4 linked regions of the Lytechinus pictus genome follow. The protein of the gene in region 2 purifies or fractionates together with the protein of the main gene of each other region. This does not show direct contact. Links are inferred from orthologs where the notes say so. Each region holds a gene or a part of one and is shown on either strand. Other genes may lie near its edges. The genes, in order: ran GTPase-activating protein 1-like, importin subunit beta-1-like, nuclear pore complex protein Nup50-like and regulator of chromosome condensation-like.

Evidence for each region.
Region 1: the proteins of importin subunit beta-1-like (region 2) and ran GTPase-activating protein 1-like purify together in Homo sapiens (affinity purification with mass spectrometry; 3 studies listed by BioGRID and IntAct, with this or other methods). This does not show direct contact. The link is inferred for Lytechinus pictus from reciprocal best matches to the Homo sapiens genes KPNB1 and RANGAP1.
Region 3: the proteins of importin subunit beta-1-like (region 2) and nuclear pore complex protein Nup50-like purify together in Homo sapiens (affinity purification with mass spectrometry; 4 studies listed by BioGRID and IntAct, counting the BioPlex papers as one, with this or other methods). This does not show direct contact. The link is inferred for Lytechinus pictus from reciprocal best matches to the Homo sapiens genes KPNB1 and NUP50.
Region 4: the proteins of importin subunit beta-1-like (region 2) and regulator of chromosome condensation-like purify together in Homo sapiens (affinity purification with mass spectrometry; 3 studies listed by BioGRID and IntAct, counting the BioPlex papers as one, with this or other methods). This does not show direct contact. The link is inferred for Lytechinus pictus from reciprocal best matches to the Homo sapiens genes KPNB1 and RCC1.

Annotation. Positions count from the first base shown.
Region 1 is NC_087254.1:11,050,584-11,057,486, reverse strand, and holds the start of ran GTPase-activating protein 1-like, read right to left. Parts: upstream 3,007-6,903; 5' UTR 2,880-3,006; coding exon 2,771-2,879; intron 68-2,770; coding exon 1-67. UniProt on the Homo sapiens protein: GTPase activator for RAN. Converts cytoplasmic GTP-bound RAN to GDP-bound RAN, which is essential for RAN-mediated nuclear import and export. Mediates dissociation of cargo from nuclear export complexes containing XPO1, RAN and RANBP2 after nuclear export.
Region 2 is NC_087245.1:3,731,277-3,738,640, forward strand, and holds the start of importin subunit beta-1-like, read right to left. Parts: upstream 3,030-7,364; 5' UTR 2,972-3,029; intron 2,234-2,971; 5' UTR 2,051-2,233; intron 1,549-2,050; 5' UTR 1,543-1,548; coding exon 1,345-1,542; intron 1-1,344.
Region 3 is NC_087253.1:24,834,026-24,841,170, forward strand, and holds the start of nuclear pore complex protein Nup50-like, read right to left. Parts: upstream 3,013-7,145; 5' UTR 2,900-3,012; intron 1-2,899. UniProt on the Homo sapiens protein: Component of the nuclear pore complex that has a direct role in nuclear protein import. Actively displaces NLSs from importin-alpha, and facilitates disassembly of the importin-alpha:beta-cargo complex and importin recycling.
Region 4 is NC_087261.1:5,083,621-5,090,528, forward strand, and holds the start of regulator of chromosome condensation-like, read right to left. Parts: upstream 3,026-6,908; 5' UTR 2,909-3,025; intron 1-2,908. UniProt on the Homo sapiens protein: Guanine-nucleotide releasing factor that promotes the exchange of Ran-bound GDP by GTP, and thereby plays an important role in RAN-mediated functions in nuclear import and mitosis.

The sequences.
Region 1 (6,903 bases), on a different chromosome or scaffold from region 2:
GTGTTGCCATTCAGCTTCAATGACTGCATCCCATCACAGGTTTTTATTGCTGCAACAACTTCCTTGGCTGAGGAGAGAAGAAAAATTTATACATTATGACTTTATGTAGAGTAAAGTCCGCAAACATCGGACGGTTCCAAGTCTTGGACGAAATGGCTTCAACTCCCTCTCCCCATAACTACAGGGACCCACACTGGCAGGGGACTTGCATGCATAAGATACATGAACATGTACCTGCTATTGAACTGCACACACAGTAGCTAGTAGCTCCAAGTTGCTGCTCAATACAAATATTCCAGGGGATAAATCCAGCGGTAAAATACATGATTTTGACTTCCTGAAATTCTTATGACCCTCACGCTCGCTAATTATCGACTCTAAAAGATCGATGACCAAAAAAAATCTCGTAAGGGAGAAGTGATTTCCGCCAGAAATATTGCAGCCGAGATCGCACATGTTCGATCTATCGAGAAAAAATCTGCAATAGCCTCCGCGGGGGTTCCCTACGGAGTGAAATTTGACACCCTTCCAAATATGGCATGATCCCAAACATCGGTCATATCGGCCGATTGAATTGGAAATGCGTGCTGTTGACGCGTACACGCTCGTTTTCAGAACGAAGTCGCGCGCAGCTGAGCCTGAGATAAGGCGTCCAATGTTCAGAGCCGAAAGAGGTCCGTTTGGTATGTAAAATATCATTATTTAAAGATTTCTATATCAAAATTATTGATACTGATAGTAATTGAAATTTGCGCAACAATTAATTAACGGGAAATAATAAGATGGCAAATATAGCGATCTTCAACGCTTATATATAAGCGTCGAAATTTGTAGCCATCTCCTTGTATTAGTCTATAATATACGACGTGTCAAATTGTAGCGAACTAGTTCGCCATTTCCAGATCTCCTCTATATATATATATACGAGGGGGAATTGTAGCGAACTAGTTCGCTATTTTCCAGATCTCCTCTATATACAAACGACGGGAAATTGTAGCGAACTAGTTCGGTATTTTTCGGATCTCCTCGATATATACACAAGGGGAATTGTAGCGAACTAGTTCGCTATTTTCCAGATCTCCTCTATATACATACTACGGGATTTGTAGCGAACTAGTTCGCTACTTTTCGGATCTCCTCTATAAAATTATATACACGAGGGGGAATTGTAGCGAACTAGTTCGCTACAATTCCGTCTCTTGTATATATAAAGATTAGAAAAATAGCGAACTAGTTCACTAATTCCTCCTCGTGTATAAAATTTTATAGAGGAGATCCGAAAAATAGCAAACTAGTTCGCTACAATTTTCCGTCGTATATATAAAGAGGAGATCCAAAAAATAGCGAACTAGTTCGCTACAAAAGAAGAGATCCGAAAAATAGCGAACTAGTTCGCTATAATTTCCCGTCGTATATATATAAAGAGGAGATCTGGAAAATAGCGAACTAGTTCGCTATGATTTCCCGTCGTATATATAGGGAGAGGAAATCCGAAAAATAGCGAACAAATCCCGTAGTATGTATCTAGAGGAGATCTGGAAAATAGCGAACTAGTTCGCTACAATTCCCCCTCGTGTATATATCGAGGAGATCCGAAAAATAGCGAACTAGTTCGCTACAATTTTCTGTCGTATATAGAGGAGATCCGAAAAATAGCGAACTAGTTCGCTACAAAAGAAGAGATCCGAAAAATAGCGAACTAGTTCGCTACAATTTCCCGTCGTATATATATATAGAGGAGATCTGGAAAATAGCGAACTAGTTCGCTACAATTTCCCGTCGTATATATATATAGAGGAAATCCGAAAAATAGCGAACTAGTTCGCTACAAATCCCGTAGTATGTATCTAGAGGAGATCTAGAAAATAGCGAACTAGTTCGCTACAATTCCCCCTCGTGTATATATATCGAGGAGATCCGAAAAATAGCGAACTAGTTCGCTACAATTTCCCGTCGTTTGTATATAGAGGAGATCTAGAAAATAGCGAACTAAGATCCGAAAAATAGCGAACTAGTTCGCTACAATTTCCCGTCGTTTGTATATAGAGGAGATCTAGAAAATAGCGAACTAGTTCGCTACAATTCCCCCTCGTATATATATATATATAGAGGAGATATGGAAAATAGCGAACTAGTTCGCTACAATTCCCCCTCGTATATATATATATAGAGGAGATCTGGAAATAGCGAACTAGTTCGCTACAATTTGACACGTCGTATATTATAGACTAATACAAGGAGATGGCTACAAATTTCGACGCTTATATATAAGCGTTGAAGATCGCTATATTTGCCATCTATAAAATACCGTTAATTAACTTAAACAATTATTTTGGGGTCTAGAGCACGATTTAAATTGCCGAAATATCAAATTGATCTTAGCGCACAACTCTACACGTTTGATATTGGGAAACTGCATCCGATTTTTGGCAAAAAACAAGCTTCTGAACTGAAGTACCGTAACTTAGATCTAACGACCGTTTATCATCATTTTTTCAATTTTTTTTTATGAGTAGGCCTAGGGCCTAAATTCAACATTTGTACTACGGAAATAAACATGATTTTTATTTGATTAAATGATTGTGTTTTCGCTTTGCTCCAATTAATCATGCTTATAAGCGTCCGATATTTGGGTACTTTACTATGTGTAATTTTGTAAAATAAAAATATGCAATATATGAATATGGGCTTTATTCAAAAACACAAAAGTAAACGAATGGGACTTAACACTTCCTTCAATATGCACGAGAAGAAATGTACGGACACTCACCATCTTCTGCAGAATTCAGCTTCAGTCCTTTTCCAGAGAATGACACTTCTATGAGTTGGTCCACTGATGTTTTTGCTAATAATTCTGTCACACCAGAAACATCTGCCATGATGAATATTTAGTGTAAATCTATCGAAAAATAACTGGACGCTCTTCGCTGTCTCGCGATCGCGAAAATAACTGAAAGTGCGCCCGCCGAAAACTATATTTCGGGAATTATTCTGCGAATAATATACAGTGCGTCCAAAAAAAAAAAAAAAAAAACAGACACCGAGTGCCGAGAACCATCGTTGTTTCATATCATGTCCACAATGTAATTTATAATTGTCTATATAAATGCAAAGCTTTAGAGCCTCTTCTTTAAATTGGAGGTACTCACATGATAATCCATGATTGTAAACGGTATATGAGAAGAAAAATAAAAGATAACAAAGTCAGGGGCCGCGGCCACAGTACAAGAAAGGGGGGGGGGGGGCGGCTAACCATGCAAAAAATCATAATCAGATGGTCCTGTTTACGTTATTGTACACGGTTTTTGAAAAAAAGTGTGGGGGCTGAAGCCTCCGCAGTCCCCCCCCCCCCCCCATTTCCGAGGCCCCAGAAGGTCGTTTGGCGGGTAAGGGGGACAAAATTTGACAAAAAAAGGTCATCACCCCCGGTCATCACCCCAAATGTAAGCTCATTTCGACCAAAATAAATTTGACAAGCAAGCAAGAAAAAAAGGTTCTCACCCCCCCCCCCAAAAAAAAGGTCATCTCGTCCAAAATACATGTTTTATTTCGATTTTGAAAGATGTATTTCTTTCCATCATAAACCAAAAATAGTAAAATAGTAGGGGATATTTAATATTGTGTCCCCCTACTATTTTGGGTAGGGTTATTCTTGGGTTATTCTCTTTGAATTAAGTATCAAATTAAAGAACAGATCATAATTTTTGAGACATTAAATTGTCTTTTTGAAATTCAGATAGGCCTATAAAACGTCAATAACTTCTTGGTAAAGGTCTATCCTCATTCTTCAAATTGTTTCTGCTAATCACTCATACACAATGAGGTAAAATATGAGTTACATCAGACAAAACCCCTAAGCTATTATAATGGTTGACCGATGATAATTTATCAGTGAGGTCAAATTTGTAATCAAGTTCTGATAAAACCTGGGATGCATCTATTACTACAGTATATAATTCGTGGTTTCGTTTTTTTTCTTGGGACGCACTGTATATGAACGACAAGAGTTTTGTTCCATGATGTTAACGTAGGAACAGGGGCGGACGTCGATCCATTTTTCAGATTGGGGGGGGGGGGGGCAAATAATCATGAATCAACTTTCCAAAGGCACTCGATCACACAAAACAAACAAACTCACACACACATATGCCTATATATATATACATATATGACTCATGAGATAGAGACACATATCTCACCAACAAATTAATGCGAGCGCGAGCTGAAATTTCTCTATATTCTGACCTGAGAGCTTGATATTCTAAGCATTTTTGGTACTAATTATTAAGATGGGTATCTAAAAAACAATAGATGCGAGCGCAAATCGCGAGCTGAAAATTTTGATATTTCGATCAGAAAAATTTGAGTTTAATGGACGTTTTTAATAAAGAACAAGATATATATCCAACAAAAGATTAATGCAAATCGAAGTGGGAGTTATTTTGAGGTCTAGAACTGAAAACGGGACATTCTATTCACCTATTTCATCATGAAAAGTATGGGTTTTTGCTACAGAAATGATGCGAGCGCCCAATCTGAAAAGTGGAAATTTTGAGCACGATTTTAGATAAAGAACGAGTTGCCTGTGTGTATCTCAATCTCGCTTGCTGATTTCTGTGTAACATTACAATCTTATTTTATTCTTTGCACATGCGGAATTATTGGGGGGGGGGCTAAACTATATTTTTGCCCCCCCCCCCTGCCCCCCTGGACGACGCCTCTGCGTAGGAAGCACGTAGATCGATGAGCTATAGGCCTAATAATATATGTATACATTCTAGATATACGTATAGTAATCACTTCTTTAATAAAGTTTACATCTGGCCTGCATAAAATAATGAGAGGATATAGGATTGATTTGCAGTGCAATCGACGCCATTATGGAGCTAGGGCATGCACTATATAGTAGTGTCGCTGTACATGCATTTCACTCCCAATACTGGGTGTTGCACTTACTTATTTCTCTATTTTTTTAATTTCAACCCTGTTAGTGATATATTTTTTTTATAGTGATAGATCTGTCTACCTTTTAAACTCACTGTAGAAAATTGGATTAGCATGCACTCCTTTATGTTAATGTTTTATACTAACTATAGGACCCCATTGGAAATAAGCCTTTCGGCTTTCATGGGCTATCCTGTCAAGGTATTCTTCAATTTTATTGTAATCTCCTGTGATATTCTTGACGAATAAAATCAATCAATTTGCCCCCCCCCCGTCTTTCTATGGATCAGAGGCGTCGATCCTGGGGGGGGGGGGGGGGCAGGGTCGGCACCAATGAAAATATTGGGGAGGGCAAACATATCGTTTTGCCTCCCCCCCCCCCCAATAATTCCGCATGTGCAAAAATAAAATAAGATTGCAATGTTACACAGAAATCAGCAAGCGAGATTGAGATAAACAACTCGATCTTTATTTAAAATCGTGTTTAAAATGTCCGCTTTTCAGATTGGGTTATAAAAATTTTCAGCGCGCGCTTCGCGCTCGCATCATTTCTGTAGCAAAAACCCATACTTCTCATGATTAAATAGGTGAATAGAAGGACCCGTCCTCAGTTCTAAACCTCAAAAGAACTCCCGCTCCGATTGCAATAATCTTTTGTTGAATATATATCTTGCTCTTTATTAAAAACGTCCATTAAACTGTCAAAGTTTTCAGATCAAAATTTTCAGCTCGCGCTTCGCGCTCGCATCCATTGTTCTTTTATATACCCATCTTAATAATTAGTACCAAAAATGATTAGAATATCAAGCTTTCAGGTCAGAATATAAAGAAATTTCGGCTCGCTTTCGGCACTCGCATTATCTGTGTAGTGAGATATATTCTCCACATATGAGTTACGACAAACAGTCCTAAACAGGTATCTTTTTCCTGTTTTCAGGTCAGTATACTATATATATATATATATATGTGTGTGTGTGTGTGTGTGTGTGTGTGTGTGTGTGTGTGTGTGTGGGTGTGTGGGTGGGTGAGTTTGTTTGGTGTGATCGAGCGCCATTGGAACGTTGATTCATGATTTTGCCCCCCCCCCCCATCTGAAAAATCTCTCTTAATCTTTTTGATGTCCCTTCTGTATATATCGTTAACCTTTTATCTAGCCTATATATATATGATCTTTTTTCTTTTCTTTTCTTTCATGCAGATTGTTGTGTCTTTTGCATTTTTATTGTTGTTACGAAGGTGATCTGCTCAACAAGGCTTTGCTTTTATACAGACCACCTTCCCATTCTGTATATTCTCAACACATTGTTCATGAGTTTATTCTATTTGTATTAACATCATGGATATTGTATATATTAATTAATGTATTTGTTTGTGCCTTTCAGTGGAAAGAAATAAAACTTGAAATTGAACTTGAACTAGGCCTATACACGAACAATTTAATGACTTGCCGAGGTAGGCCTATACATGATACAAGAGGGTTTCTTGCATATTATATAGGCCATGAACTTCGGGTTATACATGTAAAAATGTACCTAAATTTTTTTAACATTTAGGTCTATCATTCTGTTTCATATAATGGTTCACCTATTATAAAGTATGGTGAGAATAATCGCTAGAGCAGGGGCTCTCAAACTATACGGCCCGCGGGCCGGATCCGGCCCGCAGAGCTTCTCAATCCGGCCCGCGAGACTCTGCTGGAGTTTTTCAATCACTTTTAAGTCACAATATGAAACATACCTCAATATGATTACATTATAATTTATTTCCATGTAGACCTAACCGTAATAAAAGTAATGGCAGTCAAATTAATTTTACTTTTAAACAAAGTTTAGTGGAGTCTGTAACTGTCTGTCTGTTCGATCTACTTTCTTATTAGAGCGCTGTTCTCAACATGATTGGATCTACATACAGGTGCGAAAGTAAATTTTCCACAATGAACATTAAAAAAAACTAACTCAT
Region 2 (7,364 bases):
AATGATCTCTCATGAGTCTTACAGTGATCTCCGCAAAAATCTTGACAGACCGCCGAAAGATCATTGAAAGACTAGTAAGACCTTTGAAAGTTCATCGAAAGACCACTGAAAGACTGCTGAAAGACCACTGAAAGACCATTTTCCTCTAAGACTGTTCTAAGACTGTTTTGAGCCGTTTCAAAAAGTTTTGGAGCCCATGAAGACCACGAAGACCGCTGAAAGATTGGTCAGGACTCGTGTAAGACCTCAAAGACCATTGTAGGTTCATTGAGAGACCTCTGTAAGATCGACCAAAATTCATGGTCTTTGAAAGGTCTTTCAGCGGTCTTGCTCTCTGTGGAATGGCCCCTTTACTGGAAAATGGTCTTTCAGCGGTCTTTCTATGAACTTTCAAGGTTCTTATTAGTCTTTGCTTGATCTTTCGACAGTCTCTCAAGATTTTTTGGGAGATCACTGTAAGACTTATGAGAGATCATTGAAAAGTCATTGACAGATCATTGAAAGACCAGGCAGTCCATGGAAAGAATTCTGAAAGATCACTTGTTGCATAAAAGATCTCTGAAAGACCATTGAAGTCTAAGACTAGTAAGAAAAGAAATATCCATCAGTCTTTCAGAATTCTTTGAGGGTCTTTCTGAGCCATTCCACAGAGATGACAAATTTCAGTTATCTTGGAGAATGCTGTAAGACCTTGCCAATTTTTGGTCTTTCAAAGGTCCTTCAAAGGTCTCCCCTCTGTGGAATGGATATGTGACGTGCTAAACTCTATACAAAAGAAATAACACTTGAATTAAACCTTTTATAATCTGCTGACAGTACAATGTCCTGATATCTCAATTCCAAAAATTCATTCATTCCAATTTAACCATAATACTACCGATTTTTGTGGTGCAATTTTTTTTTACTCGCTGACTTTTTACTTTTAAGAGATCTTAAGGGGGCCTGTAATGCCCCCCATACTGACAAGAATAAAAATACCCTGGGAGTATTAGCGTGAAGGTATTTACAGCATAAAAATTCAAAGCCAAATACTTATGTCAAATCAAATGGATATCTCTCTGAATAACATATTTTACTTGTAAATCTTACAAGAATTGAGAAAAGTAGCAGCTTCTTCTTTCTTTTGTTGCACCTTGAGAACTCTACAGATTGTATTTGGCCCATTATATATTGTATCTATCAAAATTAGTAAATAAAAAATAATTTCATTTTTTTCCTCATTTTTTTAAATTTATGACAATGGAACAGATGTTCATCAATTTAAAAAAGCGTATTACACTACGCAACATATTCTTAATCACTCAAAACTGAAACAGGTTTGTTTTCTGATTGGCTTTCACTCACGATATCTTGGCAGATGTATCCGATAGCCTCTAAGGAACTCTGTTTGAGGTGGTCAGTGCCTTGAGCAGTGTTGAGGACATTGCTGACCAACTGAGGTAAAAGCTCTGGCCATAACTTACCAGGAAGCTCGGTACACGCTATTCCTGCTATACATTGTGCAGCTGAGCTGGGACCCTGGTACTCTGTACCCAATGTCATTAAAACCTAGTTTAAAAAGAAAAAAAAAGTGCCTGAGGATAGAGCAAGTGCCACAACAAATTTCATCCTATTCTTCACACCTTTGCATCATTAATACTTACATTACATTCATAAGTGCAAGGAAAGGATAATAGAATCCTGGTTTTTTTCTCCTCTCTCTCCTTAATAAACAGCTACAGTGGATATTCTAACACAAGCTTCCATCAAATAAACTACAGTAAAAATGAAAATAAATAAATTACAAATGATTATAACTGTAAAGAGATGAGTGCAATATTATCATAGGCATGTTGGCACAACAAACTTTACTGATTACCAAAGCCAACCAAAATCTTTTAAAAAAATTCAACTTGACATTCTTGTTTGCTAGAATGAGAACAGGTTCAAATTAACCTATTTCCTTAATGGTACATGTAGCTTGATCAAAAGACAGTTATCAGAATATAATTTAGCCTGACACTTGAGTCTATTACAAAAACTATGAAAAAAAAACATGTAATCAATTTACTTGTCTCTTGATATTGTTCCTGACTTCTGCTGAGAGCGCTAACCATCTTTGTTGGAGCTGAAGCCGTATATTGGGATCTTTGGATACAAGTGCATTCTTCAGCTGTAAACCCGCTGCAATGCGAGCGACATGAGCCTTATCGGCATTTGCAAGGATCTCAGAAAGTTGAGTGAGGAAAAGCGGCTGTACAAGCAAAATAAAACATTATTACTGACACAAAAATTGTAGCCACTGAATTATTTAAATATGTGAGTTTTGTGTATCATTACATGTAAATGCCTTACAGATCAGAAAAATTAAATTTAAGTGCATGTACAGAATATTATACAAAGCCTAATTACATGCAGCTTGTATTTGTACACAAGCAGAGGGTAGGATACACCAGCTACTATCATACCAATGTGCATGTATCCAGCATGGCCAGTTCAAGTTAAAACAGATACAATTCATTGCCCTGGCTGGCTACATAATCTAGGCCTTAAATTTTGTGAATTTTAGGGCAAGGTCAGTTTGGTTTAACATAACTCATATTTTAATAATAAACTATTGTTTTGATAAAAAGCCAGCATGAAATGGGACAAAGATTAAATACCTTTCTGATACAGAATAAATGAATTTTATAGAAAGGGATTATTCAGGGAAATTGATAATTTGATAAAGCGGTCAAAAATCCATCAAACAAAAGTAATATAACAATAACTACAAATTTGAATAAAAGTTAAATACATGTACATGTACATGTATGTAATTCACTATTGAACCTCTTCCTAAACCGTCAGAGAGAAAAAAAGGGCAAACTAAAATATTCTCCTCCATACAGTACTACTTTCCCTCATACATACATGTACCTAATTATCATAGTTTTACAAAAGTCTAGGTTTTTGTAATTAAAAAAAAAAAAATGACCAAGTTGTTACTTACCAAATTTTCCCTGGCTTTCTGTTCTAGAAACCTCTGTGCTGCTTCTAGCTCCGCTGTGTCTGGATAAGAAAATATAATCACAAGTGTTTATACATTTCATAATTTAAAGATTTGATCATGTCATAAATGGTGGGAAAAAAACATCTAAAAGTGAATGAAAAGTATATTTTGATTATTAGGTAGGTAAGTATATAGTGATATACTGCAATATCTAATAGTGCTCGACTGTGTAGGAGCTGAGTATAAATAATTTATTGGTTGGATTGCTTAACTAAGCTAGTCGTACAGACTGTTTCACCCTAAGGCTCATCAGCGACTCTGATGAGCCTTAGGGTGAAACAGTCTGTACGACTAGCTTACATGTAGTTAAGCAATCCAACCAATAAATTATTTATATTTTGATTATTATACACCTAATAACTGTTGTACAGTGTGCTGTAGGATTTTCATCCAAGTGATAAAACAAATCAAATAACCATTTTCCACATTAATGCATGTATTGGACAAACAAAAATGTTCTGTCAAAATATTTGTTTCATAATTTTTCTGTTAGGGCATCAAATGTTTGACCAATGCTTTGCAGAAATCTGCTCAATTTTGCAGAGTCACATCCACACATGAGTGCATACGTGTATGGGACATCACACAAATGTTCATTAAAGGTCAAGTCCACCCCAGAAAAATGTTGATTTGAATAAATAGAGAAAAATTAAACTAGCAAAACGCTGAAAATTTTATCAAAATCGGATGTAAAATAAGAAAGTTACGACATTTTAAATTTTTGCTTATTTTTCAAAAAACAGTGATATGCACAACTAAAGTGAGGCAGTCGATGATGTCCCTAACTCACTATTTCTTTTGTTTTTTATTGTTTGAATTATACAATATTTCATTTTTTATAGATTTGACGATAAGGACCAACTTGACTGAATCATATAGTATTAAACAATGCTCATTCCACATGTTCAGGGAGGAATTAATTGTTGTTTCACTTGGCAATGAGGAGAAAAATAGAATATTTCATATCATAAAATACAAAAGAAATAGTGAGTGGATGACGTCATCAGTCTCATCATTTTCATACCCACCAGGATGTGCATATAACTGTTTTGTGGAATTAAGCATAACTTTAAGCATAACTTTAAAACTTTCTTATTTTACATTCGATTTTTATGAAATTTTCAGAGTTATACTTGTGGATTTTTCTCTTTTTATTCAAATCAACTATTTTTTGGGGTGGACTTGTCCTTTAAGAATATTTTAGTTATTTTCCCACTACAATTTGATTGTTAGAGCATTTGAAGTCAGAGCAATACTTTGCAGTGGACAATTTTAAAATATTTACTAGGCAAGCCTCCACATTAACTTTTTTTGGGGTGGCCCATTCGGGCCACCAATACTTTCGTAAGTTGTTTTTTTTGGTGGCCCAACATTAAAATTTGGTGGCCCGAAAAAGTATTTTAAAAATATTGAAATTATAAAAAGCCTTAAACTGTACCGTCAAGAACACTAAAGCTTGTTTATGTTTTCTTCGATCTACACACAGACACAAATAGTCTGATCTAGATCTATACATTTACACTTGTTAGCAAACCACATTTCTGGCCATGAGCTCGCTATCACCAGTGTTAAACATTACTTTATTTTTCTGCCATTGAAAAAAAAAGAAAAATTACCAGGCCATTTTCAAATCAAGTGGAACGCCTCTGGCAGTCTCGCCTGCATTACGCAATTCGATATAGCAGCAGTGCTTCCTTTGAAAAACAGCTAATATTAATAATAATTATTCACAGAAGAAAACACTAATAAGATAATAAAATATTATGTCCATTGACCCAAAATGACCTTTGACCATGATCATGTGGCCTAAGACATGTGCAAAACAATCATTCATACTTGATTACCCTTATGTCGATGTTTCATGTGCAAGTACCATTAACTTCCTAAGTTATGATGCCAATTCAACACATACATGTACTCCCAACATGGCCAGAGTTCATTGACCTTTAAATGACCTTTGATCGTGGCCATGTTCCTAAAACAAACACAGGGTATTCAGGGATACAATGCTGCTCTTATGTCCAAGTTTCATGAACTAAATCCATAGACTTTTAAAGTTATGATGATAATTCCACAAATACCCCCAACATTACCAGTTTGTTGACCCTAAATGACCTTTGACCTTGGTCGTGTGACCTGTAACTAGCACAGGATGTTCAAGGATACTTGATTGCTCTTATGTTCAAGTTTCATGAACTAGATCCATAAAATTTCAGTTAAGATAATTCCTCAAATACCCCCAATATGGCCAAAGTTCGTTTACCGTAAGTGACCTTTGACCTCGGTCATGTGACCTGAAACTCGCGCATGATATTCAAGGATACATGGTTTCTCTTATGTCCAAAATTCAAAACTTCAAAAACTTAACCTTGGTTAAGATTTCAATGTTGACGACGCCGCCTTTGCCACCGCCACCGTCGGAAAAGCGGCGCCTATAGTCTCACTCTGCTATGCAGGCGAGACAAAAATTAGAAATTACCAGGGCCATTTAGGTTGCCTTTCCTACTCTGAATGTACCCTGGCATTTCCTGTGGATAGCGATATGGAGTTTCATGACAAAGGAATAAAAAAATTAAATAAATTATGCACATATCAAACCTAGATTTAAAAAAAAATCTTCACTTGTCATATCTTATTTTTCTCATCAATTTTTTTTTTCGTAGTTAGCAGTGTATCCTTCCTCCTTTTGCCTCTTTTCTCCTTCAACTTTTTGCGGATTTTTGCATATTTTCGTTCGAGTTTACTTATTCTAATCCTATTTAATTGTAGTTCCTTATCCATCCGAACAACCGTCGCCTTTCTTTCTTCTAGTGATGCACCTTTCCTCAATTCTTTTCTTTTAACATTTCTCAACTTTACGATCGTCTCTACTAATCTTTTCCTACATGAATCTAACTTCATCTCCATCTTTCCGTACTTCTTTTCCATCACTTTCATTTCTCTTACCTCTTTTGGGGGCTGACCATATTTGGTCGCAGGCAAGAATTACATGTATTTACATTTTGATCACTTACTTTACGCTCACCCTACAATATTTACAACTCTTCCCTTTTGCCTTACATGTACTACTACTGACCTACTCCGTTCCCTAACAAACACTTCTCTCATAAATTCATGAAGCTTATCTTCTTTGTACCTGCTAACGCGGATCGTCAAACATTTTGTATTTTTTTGTAGATATGTTGAGCACTTACATTATCATCAATATAAACAAGTAGCTCAGTTAACAGTGTAAATTGCTTCGTACACATTTCCTGGCTCTTTGCCCAATTATATAATACATTTGCTATTCCATTCGTCAGACACTCCCAACCAAGCTTCTACCAATCACTCTCACAACACATTGCCAATTGCACATCTCCAACAGTTACACCAATCTCACTACAATATGGACCCAGTTCAACCACTGCACTAACTTTGTACTCCTTTATGCTCTCGCATCCTCTTCCATTACTACACATTTTCTTAACCTTTCTTTTCATGTTACCAATATATGAATTATGACACCATTTACAGGTCATTTATTAAAACTCTCTCTTAATAGGTGTAAACTTTCATCGGTCGATATATCAAAGTCTGGCCGGCTAGAAAATTCACACCAGCCTCCCATTGTATTCACGGTTGCCTGAAGCTCTCCCGTCTACGTCTCCTCCGACTTCAACAAAAGTACCATGAAACACTGCGTTGCATCTTGATGAAATATTTTTTATGTACCGACTTACTTCTTCCACTGACATTGTTGTTTGGTTGATTATGATTGCTGCCGTGAGACTTTGATATATCGACCAAAGATAATTCCAAAATTGATGTAAAACAGGGGATGATAAATAGATCAAAATACACCCGCACACACGGTTGAATGATTACACCATGATCGATGAGTCACTAAGTTTACATATATGCAAATTATCCACCTGAATGTGTGTAAGCAATACACTCACGTTCATTCACAAAGTACATGTAAAATTACATTGAAACTCTATAGCATTACGCACAGCGACACCTGCGATGAACTTTGAATCCTCGTGCAGGTTGGGTACGTGACCACAAAATGCTTCAAAGTTGACTTTTGCTCCAAAATCTCTGACCATTTGTGCGACCCACACGAACTTGCATGTTAGCACTCGCGCTGACAAACCAGTGTTCAAACAGGTGAGGGGTCCTGACAAAAACATAATAAAACACCACGATCTCTTGATATTTCAACATTGATTAGCTTGAGAATATATATATTTGATGATGATGTTGTCATGGTTGTTGGCTTAGTTTGATATAGATCTACGGTATATTGAATATTTTTATTTGTGATGGCAAAATCATGAGACATGTCGTA
Region 3 (7,145 bases), on a different chromosome or scaffold from region 2:
AGCCGATCGAGATGGGGAGCATTTTATGAAGATTTTTCAGTGGTTTCAACAACAGATTTGCTTTCCGCCAATCACATGCGAGGGTTTGTCATAGCTTGTAACATCCCTCTATAAACAAACAAAATCACCGACAAAACTCTTTTTGAAACACTCCCCAGCCTGCCTTTTGACCACGTGGTGTCTTCAACAAAGTATCAACCTTGGGGCGTTGACTGACAAACCACAGGGATTAACACTTGTTTTTTTCTTTATGCAAGTTTTTTTTTCTCGGACTGCTCTTAACTCTTTTTTTGGGGGGGAGGGAGGGGGTGCTGGGCATCGACAGACAAACCACATGGATTAACACTTTTTTTTTCTTAGTGAAAGTTTTTTTTCTCGGACTGCTCTTAACTTGTTTCAATTATGACAAGTTTACTTTTATACAGCCTGCTACAAAAGTCGTTTGACACCCCCCCCCAAAAAAAAAATACATACATAAATATAAAAAATAATAACAAATAAATAAAAAACATGGAAACAAAATGTTACGCCATCCCTCTTGGTTTATTTTGAAAATGATCTGTGAAGTGATCGTGAATGGAAGAAAATGGCTGGAATATTTGTGTGATTTGTGATGGGTGATGTATCCTTTTTGTGCATGTGCGGTCATGAATAAAATGAAATAAACTATTGGATTGATTTTAATTTAAATTTATGATGGACTGGTGGCGTGATAAGATGATCAACTCAATTTTGGCATGTGTGAAAGATAGAATTGACATTATTAAAATGAAAAAGTATTGATGACCAGGACTTGGGGGGGGCAAAAGACAGAAATAGAAAAAAGGGGGGAAGATCGAGACTCGGAGAAGAGGAGGATGTTGATTGTTTGTGGTAAGAGAGGGGTGGTGACGGGGAGAGGATGGGCCGATGGGAAAGAGAGAGTGAGGAATTAAGGGGCTGGGAGATAAAGAAAAACAAAATCAAGAAAAAAGAGTGAGAAAGAGGCGGCCGCGGGATAAGAAGTCAAGGGGGAGGTTTTTACTTTTTAGACAACATGTGGAGATTCACAAGAGGGAGAAAACATGGCCTGAAGGGAGTTAGCTAAGAGGGGGGGGGGGGGGTTCAACACAATGGACATAAGAAAAGTTATTTACGAGATGTCAAAATTTGAGGTCAACAAACTTTGAACCTTCGACGAACACGTGTTGATGTGAGTGGTAAAAAAGGGGCGTATCTAAATGTGAATGAGTGGGGCCAAATCGGTGAAGGGAAAATCACGCAAATCTCCTTGACTGTTTCAGCAGGGAATTTGGTGCTTGGAACTTGGGGCATGTACACAAGTTTAGCAAAATAGCAGTGAGTAGGTGCGGTATAGCATTTGGTAACTTGACTACATCTAATTCATTTCAGCATGGAGATAGGATTAATAAATTGTACCACGTGCTTGCTGAGATAATTTCGCGCACGTGCACTGTGCACAGGTAACTCTCTCTCGCCGTCTCGGTGGGGCCGGGAGAGAGCATGATCGTATAACTTTTTGCTCAGGTCTTTATAATAGTTGGGACTTGAAATACGATAATTTCTCATTTTCTAATCTCTCTTTAATAAACAAATCATGATTATTTCCATTTGAAAATCTAAGGTTAGTGGTGACTTGCAAGGCTCAAGACAAGTCTCAACTTCGTCATTTTTAATTTTTTTTAATCTATGAAAATATGTTTGAGAAAGTTTCTGTCAATGAGAACGGACCATGCTGAGCATTCCTCAGCTGACCGCAAGCATCCACTCTTTATCCGAGGCCATATCAGGGCTAAACAAACATTGGACACTGTTTGCACAATCAAAATGAATTGGGAATTTACACCGGTATTAGTCGGTATACCGGTATTGAAGCAATTAGTAATACCGGTATTGAAAATATCAATACCGAAAAAGCTTATACACATATGGTGTAACTGATATTGTAATCCGCTAGGTGTGACGGGAAAAAACATAGGACTATACAGTAGGAAAAAAAAAAAAAAAAAAAGTATATGTGAAAAAGAGGAAGCAAATTGCCTAAAAAGGTAAAAGCAAATATAGAAGAGAGGGGGTGTATTTACTATTAATGAAGAAACCATAGTATACATTGTAAATAAGCAAATGTGGTATTGGTAAATCTAAAAGAGGTGAGTGGAGAAAAAAAAAAGTAATATATACTCCATTGGCTCTCTTTTATTAGATAAGCAGTTTTCAGCAGCTTCTTTTTGCCAAAACAAAAGTAGACGGTGAATATTGACGGTGAAAAGGGGTAATTTTTCATGAGGAATCTGCTTATCACATTTTTATCTGCCGCCAACATGGCCAAGGTAATCCTTTTGCAGCAAATGTAAACAAAGGAAATTGGACTCCAAAACTGGAGACTGTCTCTGAAATTGGATACCCAAATTCTTTACAAAAGTCTCTGATATTGGAGATAATCTCCCACATGAGTCTCCAATATTGGCCGTGCGCCTCTAGGCTCTACTGCAACTTGCAAGTCCTTTCATGAAACGCCCCCCAGATCTAGGCCCTAACAGTAACATTAAAAAGTTGGAGTCTGGACCACATTTTTTTCTAAAAATACTTAATCATGACACTTACATGAGTCCCATCCTTAACTTTCACCATCAAGCGAGTGCAGTGGTACTTGTAGATCTAACGTTACTTGTAACTTAATTTGTAGGCGCTGCGAGCGCGAGTGGACCGAGTTACCAGAGCTCAGAGCCACACAGCCGGCGCCGGCCCACCCCAGCGGCAGCGCACCCGGCACATCCGGCGCGGCAGTGGGGGCTAAGCCTGGCCGGTAGCCGGCTGCTGGTTACAGTTAATAGACGCAACATGACAACGTACATATTAAATAAGAAAATCACAGATATAATATGAGGACTATGCTGACCTGTTTTGGGGCTGAAGCTATGAATACTCGTCATTTATTTCGTAAACGGATGTTGACTTTCCACTTCATTCATTTCTGCATGTAGCGCGCCATTTTATAAAATGTCAATGAACAACAGAGGGCGGCAAAGCATTTTATGCAAGCCCTATATATAATAGGGCCTTGATTTTATGCAGAGTAGTAATAACTCTGATTTTATGCCTCAGCTCCCTCCCTGACCCTGCGCCTGCCAAGTTCAGTCTGACATATGAATTCAGAAAATGAGGGATCAAACATTATATTGTTCTTCTAGCGTTTATGATGTAAAAACTAGGGGGGGGGGTTCTTATTGAATATTTGAATTCACAATCACTTCAAGTCCAAGTTCAAGTTTATTTTCCATATCCATTATCAACATAAGCAAATACAAATCAAACATACATTATAAATATAAACAAATACAAAAGAAATATGATATTAATGATTACAAATCAATTGCAGGTTCCAAAATATTTGTAAAATAGTTTTGACACAATCTGATATGGAAATGAGGGGATCCACTAAAAAGCATTGCTTGTAGAGCGTGGATCCCCTAAGAAAGTATATTAAACATTTGAGAAATCGGACTCATTTGCAGGTGTAAATACAATAGGTTGAAATAGAATATTGGAAATAATAAAAAGATGGTGAGTAATAGCGAGAAATGATAAAAAGATGACAGAGATATGGGACGATACTAAAAACTAAAAAGAAAACAAAGACATGATGAAGAATAGAGGGCAGAGAGAAGGAATAAAGTACTGAAAGGGGAGCGAGGGGGAGAGAGAGGGCGAATATAAGTGGGGGGAGAGAGAGAGAGAGAGAGGGGGAGAGAGGGAGGCACACAAACACACACAGACACAGATTATGTGGAGAGAAAGGGTCGGAAAGAGAGAGATAAGGGGGGGGGGCCAAGAACGAGAGTGCAAACGTGGATCAAAGAGAGCGTGACTTAATAGCGTGCTTAGATATTACTAAAAAAGATACGAACTAATTGATTACTTTGGTAAGACAGTAACATAATTTTTTTTAGTTTTCTCTTAAAGGAGTGGATAGAGGGGGCCTGTTGAACATCTGTATGGAGTGAATTCCAAAATTTGGGGGCGGTGAAAATAAAAGTATTTTGCGCAAAACGAGTTCTTAAGATAGGCAGATGAAAGTTATCGGCTTGTCTGGTATAGATACCTATGAAAATTTTTATTTTGAGAAAAAAAATTGGTATAAGTCTTGAACCTTTAAAATTTTGTAATCAAGGAAAAGCGGATTAGTGTGAGAACGGGGGTGTGAGAATAAAATAATACGAAGGGCTTTTTTTTTGTAATAATAATATTTTGTTAAGTAAACTTGGGTGGGTATTGCCCCAAACAAGGATCCCATAGTTTATATATGGTAATATAAGAGAAGAATATAATGTAAGTAGAGAAGTTACAGGAATAAACGTTTTCAACCTATTTATGATGCCTTTATTTCGGGATATTGTTTTACAAATATTATCAATATGGCATTTCCAGGAGAGTTTGTTATCTACGTGAACTCCCAAAAATTAAATTGAGGAGACACTTTCCAGTTGAAAATCGTCAATAAAAATGTCAAAAGGTAAGGAATCTATGGTATTACTGAATAAAATGTATTTAGTTTTTTGAAGGTTAATTGATAATTTGTTAGCTCTGATCCAATTCAAAATATTAGTTAATTCAGAGTTTATTATGTTAACAAGTGTAAGCGGATCATTGTGAGAGAAGAATAGATTTGTGTCATCAGCAAAAATAATGAAAGATAAAATGTCAGATGCTCTGCAAAAATCATTTATATATAAAATAAACAAGAGGGGTCCCAGAATACTTCCTTGTGGCACACCACAACTAATATTACACAAATTGGAGGAATGGTCATTAAGAAAAACAAATTGTTTTCTGTTAGAGAGGTAATTCCTGAACCACTCCAAGGCCTTCCCACGTATGCCATAATGCAACTTGACTAGGCTTACACAGGGGCGGCGGAGCGAAGTTGAAAGTGGGGAGGGGGGCACAATAGGAATAAAAATCCACCTTTTCTTTGGAAAAGAGCACTATATCTTAAAACAAAGAAAACTAAATTACTATCCCACTGATTGATTGATTGATTGATTTTATTTGTCAGGCAACTATGAACAAGTACAAGAAGATATTAACAGAAGTGTATACCTTGACAGGATAACCCATGAAAGCCGAGATGGCTTATTTCCAATGGGGTCCTTACATCAGTAATTGAAGACAATGTACATCTATGAAAAAAACACCTATAGAAATCTACAAACTACATAAATTAAGTCTAGACCACTAAATTAACACGATAAATTGTAAAACTTAATATATAAAAAGACAAAAGCAAATAAGTTTGCCATGAAAAACACGCAGTCAACAAAATATGATTAAAATAATTGTTAAAAAAAGGTTGAGTAAACGATCATTACTTCTAAGTTACATATGAGAATTATACTAATAATCAATTTTTAGGTAGCGGTAAATGCATCGTAACTAATACAAGATTCATGAATCGTAAAACCTAAGATATGAAAAAGTACAAATAAGTTTGACATCAAACTTTCACGCAAACAACAAAAGATGATGAAACAATGTAAGACAAGTTTATTAAAAAAAATCATATCTAAATAGTTATATATAAGACTACAATATTTAACATTACAGAGTGGGGACGTTTTTAAAGTGTTGTTTCAATACTCTTTTAAATTGTGAAAAAGTCTTAACCGATTTAACATGATTAGGGAGGGAATTCCAAAAATGTATACCTTTATAATAAAATGTGTTACCAATTTGACCTTTTCTCATAGGTACAACAAAGTTAAACAGACTATTTCTTGTTTCATGCCCGTGAATATTAGATGACCGTGTAAAATTTTTTGATATGTAATGATATTCGTTTGAATATAAAATTTTATGAACATGGTGAAGTATAAGTTGTTGCGACCTCAAGTCTATGCGAAGAAGGCCAGCTTTTTCGATTTCATTCTTCCCAACATGTGTTCTTGGGTGTAAGCAAGTAATAAATCTAACAATCTTATTTTGAATAATTATAAACTTTTTTTGATCACCCTTTCCAAGACTGCAGTACCATGCTGCATTAGCATAATCAAATAAACACTGTATTAATGAAAAGCTTAAAATGCGTCTGGATTTCGTATTCATGCAATTTTGGTACCGGTATAGAAATTTCAAGCGAGCATTATAGCTTTTTTGACAATAGCGTCAACCATGGATGTACATGAGAGATCACTATTTAATATCAGGCCTAAATACTTCACGGAATTCTGTCTCTTAATTAATTGATTGTTATAGTATATATTGAAATCATCTGTATGCTTAGACTTACCCCGCGAACAAAACAAAATACTTTCAGTCTTACCAACATGTAAGCTAAGCTTGTTATCTATCATCCATTTAACACAATTTGATAATTCTAAGCTAAGTTTTTCACCGATCAGCTTAGGACTTGTATCAGAATAGAGTAAAACACTGTCGTCTGCATATACAAGTAATTTACTTTCATCAACACAAATACACATATCATTGATATAGCACATAAAAAGAATGGGACCTAATATGCTCCCCTGTGGAACTCCACACTTTATAGGCATAGAATATGAAAGTACATTTTGCATGGATACCACTTGACGGCGATTGGTCAAGTAAGACCTAAACCAATTCAAGCATGCTGAATTCAAACCCATCACTTCTAATTTCTTTAAGAGTATTTCATGATTAACCGTATCGAATGCTTTTTGTAAGTCAAGAAGAACCATGCCAACATAACGGCCTATGGAAATTTCATTCCTAACAAAATCCAACAAGTGAATTAAACATGTTTCAGTAGAATAACCATTCCTAAAACCAGACTGAAATTCATAAATGATTTTGTATTCTTTAAAGTATTTCTCAATTTGAGAATACACGCATTTCTCCAAAATTTTCGACACTATGCTTAACACACTAATAGGTCTATAATTGCCAACGTGAGTTTTGTCTTTCTTTTTGTGTAGTGGTGTGACTTTAGCGATTTTCATTTCATCAGGGAAGGTACAAGTTGAAATAGATAGGTTAATAATGTAAGTTAAAGGTATAAAGACGTTTTTTGCACCATCCTTTAAAAATCTAGCAGGAACCAAGTCAAGTCCGGTACTTTTTGATATTTTCAAGTTGGATAATTCATCTAATACAATCTTTTCTGTGAC
Region 4 (6,908 bases), on a different chromosome or scaffold from region 2:
CTTTACATATCGTTTTTGAAATGAAATGTTGAAATTTCGAAAACAGCAATAGTCAAAATGTAATTTCCACTTACATTTTCCATATTCCAGCCCATTTCCATCTGAATCAAGCGATCGTCATGAGATAATTAGGGTTCTGAACTTCGCATTCGCCGGGGAGTTTCTGTGATCGACGCCATATTTGTTAGCAGCATTGTTTACTTCCGGGTTCTGAGGGTTGTGGGTAAACTCGTCTTTTGCAAGATTTTCACTTCGATACTACATGCAAGATGGCTTCTCGCGAAGGTAAGAATATTTCCGAGAATTTTTCGTAAATATTTGATTTTTTCTACTGTTTTTTCTGCTTTTTGAGAAGAGTGATTATGAGCGTAAAAATTTCGGATTTTCCCCCGCACTTTGGAAGGCTGTAGCTCGATAACCATATGGGTGGAAGGCAATAGGAAAGTTATTTCTGATGTAGTCCCACATATAGATAAATTTGCTGACAATGTTTCTGCTGATGATTGAAATAGTCTTTAATCATGTAAATTCAGGTTGAAAGTATACAAATCTTGCTTTTTAGTTTTAAAAGTGTATCCAATGATTCTCAAGATCAATTTTAATCATTTTTTTAATGGCAAAAGAAATTTAGGTCCTGTCATGTTGATGATTTCAGCTGCTTGATGGAAACTTTATATCTATTCAAAAGTAGAATTAGGAAAAGAGAAAGTAAAAAAAATTATAATTTGAGGTGATTGGGAAGGGGGGGGGCTGAGGAATTGTGTTGTTCTGTGACTGTGTGTTTGTTTATTGGGGTAAGGGGCTTAATCTTTTTAAAAGAGTGTTGGGGTGCTGTGTTTGTCTTGAACATAAGACTTAGAAATAAAATTGAGACAGGACATGGTGGTTAGGGGGGGTTGCTGATGAAGCCTGTAAAAGGGTTTTCTTCTTCCTTTTTTTTAAAAAAGTAACTCTACCCTTGTAGTACCTAAATATTTTTATTACTATTAATTGATTGGTGTTCTGATCTAATTCCTTACCTTCATTTGATATTTTCCCCTCTGATTTATTATTAATTGTTTTGTGTGTGTATACCACTCTGCCATTTGCACACATATATCGTGAAATACACAACAGCTAATTGTAATTAATATGCAAATTAATGCATGGAATAAAATGCAAATGTGCACAATAACAGAACTTGCTTGATGCACATCTTTAATTTGTTTCAGTGGAGACTGGAATTTTACTTCCAATCAGAACAAAACTTAGTGCAAGAATATTCTTCAGTCACAGGTAGACCTACTATGAATGTGAATACAAGTTCACCTCAGCCTATGCGCTAAATGCTGCTCATTTGCATATATAATTAGATGCTAATTAGGGTGTAAGATGGCAAGATGAAATATGATTCAGCATGTTTAGTCTAGAACAATTAAATGTATATACATTGGACCAAGATTGTTGGCAATCTTGGTCTAATTTATTATTATATATAATGTAATAATAATAATATAGGGTATTTATATTGCGCACCTTGTTAGGTGCTCAAGGCGCTCCTATATTACCCGGCTAAGCTAGGCGTTCATAGCGCACACAGCTTTTTAAGGAATTACTTCCTACCGGTACCTATTTACCTCACCTGGGTTGAGTGCAGCACATTGTGGATCAGTTTCTTGCCGAAGGAAATTACGCCATGGCTGGGATTCGAACCCACGACCCTCTGTTTCAAAGTCCGAAGACTAATCCACTGGGCCACAACGCTCCACATGCATCACGCCACGTCACCAGATCATTGGCAGAACATTTTTAATATTTGCATAATGGATTATGCGTTAATTTAAATAAGCTTTAGTTATTAGGAAAAACTGTACTCTTATTACTTAGATAGAAAATTATATCCCCTTCAAAATGAGTACAAATAAGCTGTGGTTTATTCCAAAATAAAAGAATTCATTTGGCTTAGCTAATTCTACTTCAAAGTGGTCGAGGGGTTGGTTCCTGCCCTTCCTGTTGATAAATTTCTAATGAAAGCAAGACATTTATAACGTAATATCAAAGCTAAGAAATTTGTAAACTTTGATGCTACTAACTATGTTGTATGTGGTAGAGAAACAAGTAACAAATAACTCCAAGTCATTTTCTCAATAAGACAGTTAATGTAACGCAGAGCAGTTAAGAAATTCTTTTTTTGTGAATACAACGTTCGTTGGCCTGGAATCAACTCCCTAACGAAGTTGTCAGCAGTACCGGTACATCACCAGAGGTGTTACAGTTTATTAAAGCCAAGAATAAATTAAGATCGAAGAAAGCCACTACGTTTCGACTAAACTCATTTGCGCCCTCTCCTTACCCGGTGCATTAAACTATTTGCGCCCTCTCCTTACCCGGTGCATTAAACCTAACGGTCCTGCACTGTACATCCAGATCCAGATATCTAAAAATAATGAAGATAAAATTGTTCTCAAAATACCAATTCGGAGAGATTTTAAGGGTATTTTATCTCACTGATTTTGAAGGAGATAAAATATTTTATTAGATCTGATTCTGAGATAAAATGGATCTCAGTCAGAATACCACCCCAAAAGCATGAAATGACCTCACATATTAACGGGAGACAGTTAACGCGCCGCCTGGCTTGAAATAGTGACACTCATTCTCAGCTGGTACGGTACAGGAAATGCGATAGCGCGGCGCAGCGCTTGAACTTTGAAGTTAAACGCGACGGGTCAAGCCGCGAGGCCGAGGAGAAACACTGCGCCCACATATTCATAATCGCGTTGTATGCGGTATGTTAATTGTGCGAAGTTCGTTCGAAATATTGTTTAGCTTATCTCACAACCAAAACATACAAAGCACTTCAAACACAAATAATAATATCTATTTCATCCTTCAAAACAAGTGATATTGTCAATAGTTGGAAACTGACCTTTATAAACCAAGCTTTATTTTGTTTTCTCCGACAAAAAGAGTTGCACGTAACACACGTTTGCCGCCTCCGTTTAAAACTCGATGGTATCTCTAGCTCTGCGAATAAAGCCAGAAATGAAAAACTGGGATTCCGCATGCGTATGGAATTTTCCGAAATTTATTATATTAAGTGGTTTTAATTTTGTCAATAATTTTCTTTGAGTAGGCCTATAGGTTGAGTTTATTCGAACAATTAAAAAACACAAACAGCAAATTTAATATCATTTCTAAAACAAAATACCAAAAACTTTGAGAATCATAATACTGTACATATCACTGATGCTTTTGAACTTCTGTCTGTTTTGGAAGCAATGAATGATCTATGGTGAAAGCCCCCCCCCCCCCCCCCATAAGCATGGTAACGTATTATGCATAACTCTGATATAAATTCATCATCTCTTATCAAGTGAATAATATGAATAAACTCCACTTCACATAACTTTAAAAAGAAACTATAATGGTAATCCACTATCCAGGTTTCAGGATGGAGCACGGGGGGGGGGGGGGTCGATGGGCAAATATACAATTTAAAGAATGTCAAAACTGGCTGGTATTTTAAGCACAAGCGCGTCGAAATATTGACAACTTTGTATTTTTATGTCAAGTTGGATAGTTTTATATTAATTTCCAATGCCTTTAAAAAATATAAAGTATTTGCATTCCCTTTTTCTTTTTTAAGATAAAAAAAGTGGGAGGGAAGCAAATCGGTAATTATGTTTGCCCTCCAATATTTTCATTGTGGGCGATTGCCCCCCGCCCTTATGATCGATGCCTCAGATGATTTTATTTAAAAAATGAGGGCGTGTCATTTAAGACAATAATTTTATGATCTTGAAATTTAGGTGGTATACTTATATATTTCTAGTCTCTAGAGTGATGCTGAAAACACGGATACCGTCGTAATATGGATTACTAAATGTTTTATGAGTATCATTCTGTTTAATTTGTTGTATTACACATCAACTGACAATTTTTTATCATTGTTTACCATAATATTAGTTTGCAATCGTTCCATATATTTTGTTTTCAGTACACATAATTTTGCGAATGGTTTTATATGTTAAGTTTCAGTTCTTTAAGTTTTTTTTAAATATTTTATATGTTTAGTTTTTAATCACCATAATTTTTTTTTAGCATTAATATGACTTGTATTCAATTTGAATATTCGCTTGTCCATGATAGAAACATCAATTTACTTTGATATTTTACTTTTTCATGCTCACATTAATACTTTTACCTATTTATGCACCGCTTTGTTCGAATTTGATTCGATTTGATTTGATATATTTTGTTTAAAGTTTTAAACACGGTAAAACAGCACTCGATCAGCCAATGGCTTGTTTTCAGAGAGGCCGTGCATAAAACGAAAACCTAAAAAAAAAAAACTAAAGTGGGGTGAATGAAAGATAACAGAAACAAAAACAAAATAGTAACAAAATAAAAAAAAATAGGTAAAAAGGAATAATCAAGATTCCAGAGGGCGTTGCATAAAGCTGTTCGTAAGTTAAGAGCGACTTTAAGAACGACTAGTTAACCTTTCTTGTAAATGGTATACTGTACACCAAAATGTTCATTGGCGATGGTTTAGGAGTAAGAAAGTTTCACCAGTTGTTCTTAAACTTGCTCTTAACTTATGAACAGCTTTATGCAACGGCCTCCTGGACTCTTTCAATTTCAGATTCAAGTTAATTATTCGTCTGGGTCCAGTTTCAAAAGCCACAATCAAAAGACAACTTTTTTTTTTCTTATTTCTTTATTTTTATATATAGACAATGATTTCCTCATGCACTCTGTTATTTAACCTTTCACTTTCTGTAATGGCAGCATAATTTGGTCTTTATTATTGTGATAAATCATACAAACAATATTTCATTTTGTATATGCATTGTTATCTGTGTAAACGGTATATCATTTCTTGTTGTTGTTGGACGTTGTTCTTGTTCTTTTTTCTTCGATATTTTTTCTCCTTCTCCTCCTCCTCCTTTTTCTTCTTCTTTTCTTCTTCTTCTTCTCTTCTTCTTCTTAATTTTTCGTTTCTTCTTCGTCTTGTCTTTGTAAATAGTATATCATTTCTTGTTGTTGTTCTTCTTCTTTTTCTTCGATCTTTTTCTTCTTCTCCTCCTTTTTCTTCTCCTTCTTCCCCTACTTCTCCTCCTTCGTCTTCTTTTTCTCCTTTTTATTCCTATTCTTCTTATTCGGAGGAGGAGGAGATATATCAAGGAAGGGATAAATAAGACAATTACACAGGAGGGATACTAAAAAGAGGAAGAAAAGTGAAGAATTTTAAAAGGGGAAGAGTTGGCAAATAGCAAACTTGTTTTTAACACTATATCAAAATGCAAAATTCCGCTTCACGCTTGCATATCCTAGAACGTGAATGTTCAAACAGTTGTTCGCGCTTCTCACTTCTTTTAATGAAGCGTAATGAGCCAATATATATACAGTGCGTCCCAGAAAAAACGAAACCGAGATTTAGCGATGATTTATCATAACTTAATCATAAATAAAATAGACAAATGACCTACCAATGTAAAGCTTAGAATCTCCTCTTTCATCTGGTATTACTTAGATTATTCCTCATTGACGCATTATTGAGCAAAAAGATTTCGAAGAAAGGATGCCAAAAACTCATTTGGCGGGGGGTATCTGAATTTCAAAAAGAAAATCACATGACTAAAAAGTTCAATATCTTCTTTTTTCTTTGATACCTAAATCACAGAAAATTGTCAATGCTTGTATTTCCATAATTTCATTAAAAGGAGAATGAAACTCTTGGAGCAAGTTAGCTTTTGTGAAAGCAGAAAAATCAAAAAATAAGATCAACAAAAATTTGAGTAAAATAGGACTAGCAATAGAATAGTTATGAGCATTTGAATGTCGAGATCACTTATGCTATGGAGATCCTCCCATTGGCAATGCGACCAAGATCTATGATGTCACAGGTGAAGAACTCTCCCCTTTTGGACACTGAAAATATACCCCAAAACATCTCTTTTTGCTCATTCTAATCATATGACAAACGATTCATCAATGATTTAATGTTGTGAAACCTCTGTACTTCTCCTCTCATAAAGAGAACACCTCACATTGTGATAGACTCTATAAAAGTGAGAATATAAATGAAATAAAGGGAGTTGTACGTGTGTGACATCACAGATCTTGGTCGCATTGCCAATGGGAGGATCTACATGGCATTAGTGATCCGATCATTCAAATGATCATAACTTTCTTATTATTCATTCAATCTTCCTCAAACTTTCAACAATATGTTTCTTTGATTTTTCTCTTTGATATAGATTCAGCTGGTTTCAAGGGTTTCATTCTTCTTTAAATAAACGTGTTTTCACTGGTTTCCCACAGAAGCTATCGCACGGTAACAAAAGACTTAAAGGGGAATCCAGCCTTTGCCATAAAATGTTGTGTTGGGAAGGAGAAAAATAAATTAAACAGAATGGTGAAATTTTGAAAGAAATCGGACAAACAATAAGAAAGTTATAGCTGCTTTAAAATTGGGATCACTAATAGTATGTAGATTTCAAATTGGCAACTGGGTAAGTAAATTATGACAAGGGGCAAGGACAACTTTCCCATAGGCCATGTACTTTATTATCAGGGTTTTGTGGTTTTCTCCTAAGTACCCATTCCCCTGGGGCAGTAATCTAAATATAACCCAGGTGGTATATTGTTAAATGTCCTCATAAAAGAAAAATGTAATTTGAAATAAAACTTTTCGGAAAAATGACATTTTAGCCATAATATGTAATGGAGTACATGGAAGAGTAGTCCTTGCCTTACATCACTATGACATCCCATATGTGGCCAATTTGAAGTCTCCATGAGTATAGTGATTACCAATATTTACAACTTTTAAAAATTCATAACTTTCTTGTTGTTTGTTCAATATTGTTCAAACTTTCACATATCAACTTGTCTGATTTATCTTTTTCTTATAAAAACAA